2 linked regions of the Schizosaccharomyces pombe genome follow. The protein of the gene in region 2 interacts with the protein of the main gene of each other region in a pairwise test. Each region holds a gene or a part of one and is shown on either strand. Other genes may lie near its edges.

Region 1 (5,030 bases), on a different chromosome or scaffold from region 2:
AGACGTAAAAAACTCCGTTTCATATGAATATGAAAAGGCGTCATCTATTTCCTTTAAATGCATTTTCTACACGTCCGAGATGAAATTTAAGTCAAATTGACAATACAATTTCCATGTTGAAAAAAATAACAATAGGCAATCCTAAAGAACAACGACAAAACGTAAAAGAAGGATAATTTTGTTCGCTCAAACTGACCGAGAAAAAGTTAAAGTGTTGATGAAGAAAGTATGAAGAAAACTATATACAAAATAAAAGTCGAAAAAAAAAAGAGATGCAACATGTTGTGAGTAAATGATCACATAAGAAGTACAGACATTACAGTAAAGTTAAACGAATCCTTAATTTAAAAAGACAAGCATCCCTCAAACTCAACTCAGACGTAACGTTCACTTGAACGATCACTCAACCCCAAAGAGGTAAGACTACGTTCGACGAAGATACCTAACTTTTTATAAGCTTGTCGAAGTACATTCGACGTCCGACGAGATGATCCAGAAGAATAAGCATCAGGGGACGAGGAAGACGGGGTTGTAATGGTAGGAAGTGTATTGTCAGCAGCGGTAAAGGAAACAAAAATACCAATAGGAACAGACCATACGCATACCCCCATAAATGAAGCAACTTGTGAAAAGGAAGCACGAGAGGTCAAAAGGCGTTGACCAACAAAATCGTAAGTGAGTCCACGAGGTTTAATAGGGAATTCATGCACCTGGAAAAAGCGGACCCATAAGATATGATTCGCGACAATAAGGAAACATGCTAGCAAAAATCTCATTCTCTTAAATGAGAAGAAAGGAAAGGTATCAAAGTTGATTTTATAAATGTAATGACTGAAAATGGAGAATGCCGAGAGCCAAAAAGGAAAACCATCAAATATAACCAAAAACACCATTACCGCCATAATAAAATAAACCAACCGACATAAAAACGCCTTTGCGAGCCTAGAGTGCTCTTCTACAAACTCTGAAATGTAATACAAAGCTGATGCGATACTCACGGTCATGCCTATGAATCCCAAAACGATACCCAAGTACGACAGAGCATTAAGGACAATCATTTTGAAAAACGCTTTTAATTATGTCGTATCTAATAATCTTAACAAATGTGATTTTCTTTGGACTTCTTCAATATAGATAAATATGTTCGGATTTGTCGAATAAATACGGTTTTAATGCACAGCACCGCTTACAAAGCTTCTGCCTAAAGGTTTTAGCAATTTCTTAAGTTGCAAGGCACAATAAAAATATCAATTTCTATATTTTGTAGTATTGGTTGGTATGGGAAGACAGCAAAACCATGGCTGGTACTCCTGAATATCACTACGACCTTAAACAGAAAGCAAACTGTATGCTAATAATTGTAAATTTGAAAGTTGAATTTTCTTATTCCAATTAAAATGATTAATATGTATACTAAGTCTGCTATTTAGAGACGAGCATAACGGTGGTTTTTAGTTTTGGTGAGTGGCAATCGTGTACCTACATTACGGTGCCTAAATGTTTAGTTATATAGATTATAAATATATTTATATAGTAAAACCTTTCAATTAATTTTTATTCTTTAACGTAGTCAGATGATAGCACGTGTACTGACTTAAGGTTTCAAAAAAACTATTAATACCCATACATATTGGTATCAAAATTAACTAAAAAATAATTTTAAATTGTTTAAATGACTTTTTATCCTTGTTAAAAATTGTTTTCGTTGACATATCTAATTTGCTGAGGGGTTAAAAAGGGCAGTCCCATCGTGTATTTGGTAGCATTTAATGGCCAACTTAACCTAACCTCAACCAAACACTTCAACTCAGAAATACAAAAAATATTATGAGCGACAATGTACAGCAACAAGTAGATTCAGTTGGTTCTGTGACTGAAAAATTGCAAAAAACAAACATCAGCAGACCTAGGAAGTATATTCCTCCTTTTGCTAGGGATAAGCCAAGCGCTGGCGCAGCTCCAGCTGTTGGCGACGATGAGTCTGTCTCATCTCGTGGCTCTTCTAGGTCTCAAACTCCTAGTGAGTTTTCCTCTAACTATGGAGGTCGCCGTGAATACAATCGTGGCGGTCATTATGGTGGTGGCGAGGGCCGCCAAAATAATTACCGTGGCGGTCGTGAAGGTGGTTACAGCAACGGCGGTGGTTATCGTAACAACCGTGGATTTGGCCAATGGAGAGATGGTCAACACGTTATCGGAGCCCGTAACACTCTTTTGGAGCGTCAATTATTTGGTGCCGTTGCTGATGGTACCAAAGTTTCAACTGGTATTAACTTCGAAAAGTATGATGACATCCCTGTTGAAGTTTCCGGTGGAGATATCGAGCCTGTTAATGAGTTCACTTCTCCTCCTTTGAACTCTCATCTTCTTCAAAACATTAAACTCTCTGGCTACACTCAGCCCACCCCAGTTCAAAAGAACTCCATTCCTATTGTCACATCCGGACGTGATTTGATGGCCTGTGCCCAAACCGGTTCCGGTAAGACTGCTGGTTTCTTATTCCCTATTCTTTCTCTTGCTTTCGATAAAGGACCTGCCGCTGTTCCTGTTGATCAGGATGCCGGTATGGGTTATCGTCCTCGCAAAGCCTATCCTACCACCCTTATTTTGGCTCCCACTCGTGAATTAGTTTGTCAAATTCATGAGGAATCTCGTAAATTCTGTTACCGTTCTTGGGTGCGTCCCTGTGCTGTTTACGGTGGTGCCGATATTCGTGCTCAAATCCGCCAAATTGACCAAGGTTGCGACTTGCTTTCTGCTACTCCTGGTCGTTTGGTTGATTTAATCGATCGTGGTCGTATTTCTTTGGCCAACATTAAGTTTTTGGTGTTGGATGAAGCTGATCGTATGCTGGATATGGGTTTCGAGCCTCAAATTCGTCACATTGTGGAAGGTGCTGACATGACAAGCGTTGAAGAACGTCAAACTCTCATGTTTTCTGCCACTTTCCCCCGTGATATCCAACTTTTAGCTCGTGACTTTTTAAAGGATTATGTCTTCTTGAGTGTTGGTCGTGTCGGTTCCACTTCGGAGAATATTACTCAAAAGGTCGTACACGTTGAAGATTCTGAAAAGCGTAGTTACTTGCTTGATATTCTTCACACCTTACCTCCTGAGGGTCTTACCTTGATCTTTGTAGAGACTAAACGCATGGCTGACACACTTACCGACTATTTGTTGAATAGCAACTTCCCCGCAACAAGCATTCACGGTGACCGTACCCAACGTGAGCGTGAGCGCGCTTTGGAATTGTTCCGCTCTGGCCGTACTTCCATTATGGTCGCTACTGCCGTCGCCAGTCGTGGTTTAGATATTCCCAATGTCACGCATGTTATTAACTACGATTTACCTACTGACATTGATGACTATGTGCATAGAATTGGTCGTACCGGTCGTGCTGGTAACACTGGTCAAGCTGTTGCGTTTTTCAACCGTAACAACAAGGGTATCGCTAAGGAATTGATTGAGTTGTTGCAAGAGGCCAATCAAGAGTGCCCCAGCTTTTTGATCGCCATGGCTCGTGAAAGCAGCTTTGGTGGTAATGGACGTGGTGGCCGTTACAGTGGTCGTGGTGGTCGTGGAGGCAATGCTTATGGTGCTCGCGACTTCCGTCGCCCTACTAATAGTAGTAGTGGTTATAGCTCTGGCCCTAGCTACTCTGGATACGGTGGCTTTGAAAGCCGTACTCCTCATCATGGTAACACTTACAACAGTGGTAGTGCTCAATCCTGGTGGTAAATTTCCTAAAAAAATATTTTTATTGGGTTACGTGCATCTGTGTTATGCACAGGCTTCTGATGATTTCCTTTAGTCAGAGGCCGAAGTATTGTGTCCATTGTTTTGCTGACATTTGCAAAGCGCGAGGATGTCAGAAAGGGCGAAATATTTGGCTTTAATTAACTGTGATTGAGTGAGTTGCACGAAACGTCTTTTGTTTAGGTCCGGTTTTTTTCATTTTTAAGCTGGGCTTGGACGGATGCTCATTGGGTGTGCTTTTTAATCGTTGCGGTTGTGGAAGCGTTATGTAAAAACGATCCGGCAAAATTTAGTATGCGGTGTTGTGTTTTATTGCATAATAAGATGAGGCGAAAGTTTCAGAAGTCAATGCGTGCATGATTTATTCACGGGACTTTTTAAATAGAATATGCATATTTGAAACATTTGCATTGACGAAATGGATGTACGAATACGACGGGCATACAAAATGACATATATTATACATATTTTATATATATCTATTGATATGTTGAAAATTTCTACAGGCTTTGAGCTCATGATTTTAAAAATCAATGATGGATCTTTTTTTACGAGTCTGTGTTTCTTTTTTTCGAGAGAACTTGGAAATAGGTTAGTGTCTCTCTTTTGTTGGATTGTGGTTCTTGGGTAATATTTCTTTAGGAAAAGGTTTACGATTCTGCAATTTGTAATAATAGGATGCGCGCTAGAGCAAATTAATAAATTTTATTGCAATAATAAACTATACACATGTTATTAGGCAAATTAGTTATTAGTAAAATTAAGGAATGTAATTAGTGATATGTACAGTCAGAAATACTAGAAATATATACGAAAGATTAAGTAACGCAGCTACAATGATCACTGATACAGAAAGTATTTAAGGGTCTAGTTGGACTAGACAATTGTTTATTTATTGTGTCGCAGTAGTCACAATCAAAAGAAATAATTAAATAAAAAATTAGAAATAAATGGTGAACCACTTGGACCTATATGCTTTGACGACATACATATTAATAAGTGAGGACAATGTCAAGGGTAACTTAAGTAAATGTTGAAGAAAAATGCTTGATGATTATGTTTTTACGTTCTCAATTAAATAAGTAACTTTTCAATTAATTGAAAAACGAATATTAATGAGTAACCATGACTAGGATTAAAAGAATAAACAACCATACTTAAACTTAGTATTCAATAGATTGTTGAGATTAAAGAGAACAAAAATTAAGGAAACAGATCACAGCACAATTTCATCAAAAAATTGCAATTTTTCTTCGTTTTTCTTTATGTTTTTA
Region 2 (3,036 bases):
AGGAGCACGTGTGGTGAATGGCCAGGAGTGATACTTTCGACGTTGAAAGACAAAGCAGAGGCTAAAATTTGATGAACACATGCCTCTACGGGGAAAAACATTCTGTGGGAAGGATTCTTTTTGTTCAGTAAAATCAAATTCAGTCCAAAATCACTACCATTTAAGATATAGGTGGCTCCACATCCCGTTACATTTCTCTTCCAAAGCTTCAATGTACCGATCTGGATTTGAGCTTCCTGTAACTTTAATAAGGCCGCTTCAACATTATCCTTCATCACATGAACTTTTCCAGAGGAGGAGGAGGAGGAAGAATGATTTCCTCCGGAAGAATTTGAATTTAACAAATGCTCAAAAAGTGGAGTATCTAGATCTATATATAACACACCCACTTTGATGGAAGAACGAAGACGCAGAATCGTGTCAGGAACGTTTGATTTATCTAAAGAGTAATAGGTTTGTAAGCTTAAGTCCAAATAATCGGTAATCTGTTGACTGCTCTGCCGGCGGTCAATGTAAACCAGGTTTGCCAAGCGAATGCTACAAATTACGCAGGAGGATACAAGTTCGGGATCAGACGGATTTTCATATCCAACGACATTATTGGTTTCAGGACGCATTTCCATCGAAAGACTGCCCAACTCGAATGTTCCTACAGAGGGAAATGTCAATTGAGATTCTTGGATACTAATGTGAAGCCATTTCATCCAAGATTTGTGAAGAAACTGAATCCATTTTTGCTCCACATTGCGAAGTAAGTTAGACATGTAAACGGCATGACAAAATTTCTCCTCCGTTTTTTCTTCCTCACGCTTTGCTTTAAACACCAATCGAGATCTTTGGTTCTCATTCTTACCAGCCGATTGTGCATCATTAGCACTGGAAAGTGATGGAGTATAAATCAAGCCTTTGGTTACAATGCGCAGTAAATAGGGCTTGGAAGTAGAAGGACGATGCAGACGAAGTGCCACATACGAGATGAAAACCGAGTCTCCATTACGGAACGTGTGTCGTAGGCCATACACGGAGAAGAATCCAAAATTTGTAAAGGGCCATCCCAGCACGTATGACAGTACAAAAAGAACCAAATGAAAAAGGAAACCTGTCGCTATCACCACCCAAACGAATGAAGTGTTTTGCGAGGACGACCACATCGTTGATGGATTAAGCAAGGAAAAAGGAAACAACGGGTTCATCAAGTATGTAAACACATAGAGATTACTATAAGTTTGTCGTTTTTCCTTTAATGAAAAGGTAAGGAAATTGCAGAAACGGAGAGGAGGGAGGAGAAAGGAAACTGTGTAAAATAAAGCTGGTGTAACGAAGAAATCCAACTGAGCGGGAAGAGGCGGGAAGGTACACGCTATGTCAGTGATCAGCGAGAGCGGTAGTCGCTTGACTAAACAAGTTTAGGGATTAACGGCCACGTGGATCGGAAATTGAAGTCGCTTGAGGAAACCGTTAAATATTATATCGATATGTAGCGCATACATTTTTAAGTTTATTATCAAAGTAGAGGGATGTGTGCGTTATTTTTCAATTTGTTAAGTATGTTTTGCGTATCTTACAAAAAGCTCGGTATTTAAAGGTAGTGAAACAATTTCGCGTTACGGAGGAAACATTGAAGAAAAGCAATCAGTTTGATATGCAAAGCTAAATACGGGATATTACAGAAATGAAAATGAAGAATGATTAGTTTTATAATGTTATTGATCATTTAAATAGAGATATTATTAACTTCTTTTTCAACATGTCAAATCTGGGAACTATAGCGCAAAAAATGAAAACTCAGCTACCATCCCCATAAAAAGCAGTCACGTTCGTTCCAAAACACACTCACAACACAAGTGCTAACTTTTCCACCCACACAACAGAAATGGCTGCTGTCAATATCATCAAGAAGCGCACCAAGCCCTTCAAGCGCCATCAGTCTGACCGCTTCAAGCGTGTTGGAGAATCATGGAGAAAGCCCAGAGGTATTGATAGTTGTGTTCGTCGTCGTTTCCGTGGCACCATTTCCATGCCCAAGATTGGTTATGGAAATAACAAGAAGACCAGATACTGCATGCCTAATGGATTGAAGGCTTTCCTAGTCCGTAACGTTTCAGATGTTGAGCTCTTGTTGATGCATAACAAGACTTATGCTGCTGAGATTGCTGGTAACGTCTCTGCTCGTAAGCGTGTTGAAATTGTTGAAAAGGCTCGTGCTCTCGGTGTAAAGGTCACCAATGCCGGTGCTAAGGTTCGCTCTCAGGAGTAAATTAGAATCACGACTTAGTACAGTTAATGAAAGTACTTTGGTATTGGAAAAAAACTCTTTGTATAATCGTTGATAACTTTTAGTTTATTAAGCGAAATTTCCCTTTCACAGTTTAATTTAAAAAGTTTCTCACTTTTAAAAAAAATGGTTAAACGTGACGCAGTCGTTTTCATTTAGCTTTTCTGCATTCGATAAGATGAACGAAGAGTTCTGAAACAGATCATTTGGCTCTCAAACCGTTTAAACGTATATCATTAATATTTTATTTAATTGAGAACTATTCTTATATTTCGTTCAAACACATCAAATATGTATTCAAACGCATCTACTCGGGACAAATTTTTTCAGATCTGTTTAAGCTTATCTCTGCAAATGTATATCTAGACTATTCGAACATGAAGCTGTCTACTTTAACTTATAACTTCAAACCTCATCTTGTCCATTTAAACCTTCAACTTCAAACTTTTTTCTTTTCATCCTTGGTTACATTGTATATTTTTTAACGTTGTCTTTGGTTTTGATTTAAAGTACCAAAGATCAATTAGAAAGTGTTTCAGTGGATGACAACATTTCATTTTTCAAAAACTTTACATATTTTAGCGCTGATCTGAGCTGGAGGACGCTGGATTTGCAGGTTTTTTGGATTCCTACATAATTTTTTCGATAAATGTTTTGCCATCGAGCACTCTTATATCCTAATCCATTAAACTGGTTTGTTCTTGCTTGACATAAATTCTCTTTTTTATTACTCAAAACTGCTTTACTAAGCAGATTAGGAG

What was found. The genes of interacting proteins can lie anywhere in the genome.
Region 1: the proteins of rpl3202 (region 2) and sum3 interact in binary tests that used the Schizosaccharomyces pombe proteins (3 or more experiments, as listed by UniProt).

The regions. Positions count from the first base shown.
Region 1 is NC_003421.2:973,469-978,498, reverse strand, and holds sum3 (translation initiation RNA helicase Sum3), read left to right. Parts: upstream 1-1,785; 5' UTR 1,786-1,827; coding exon 1,828-3,738; 3' UTR 3,739-4,500; downstream 4,501-5,030. Other genes in the region: protein SVP26, read right to left, coding at 375-1,058. UniProt on the Schizosaccharomyces pombe protein: ATP-binding RNA helicase involved in translation initiation. Remodels RNA in response to ADP and ATP concentrations by facilitating disruption, but also formation of RNA duplexes. Inactivation of ded1 blocks mitotic cell cycle progression at G1 and G2/M.
Region 2 is NC_003424.3:3,414,879-3,417,914, reverse strand, and holds rpl3202 (60S ribosomal protein eL32), read left to right. Parts: upstream 1-1,858; 5' UTR 1,859-1,873; coding exon 1,874-2,257; 3' UTR 2,258-2,507; downstream 2,508-3,036. Other genes in the region: protein hob2, read right to left, coding at 1-1,193.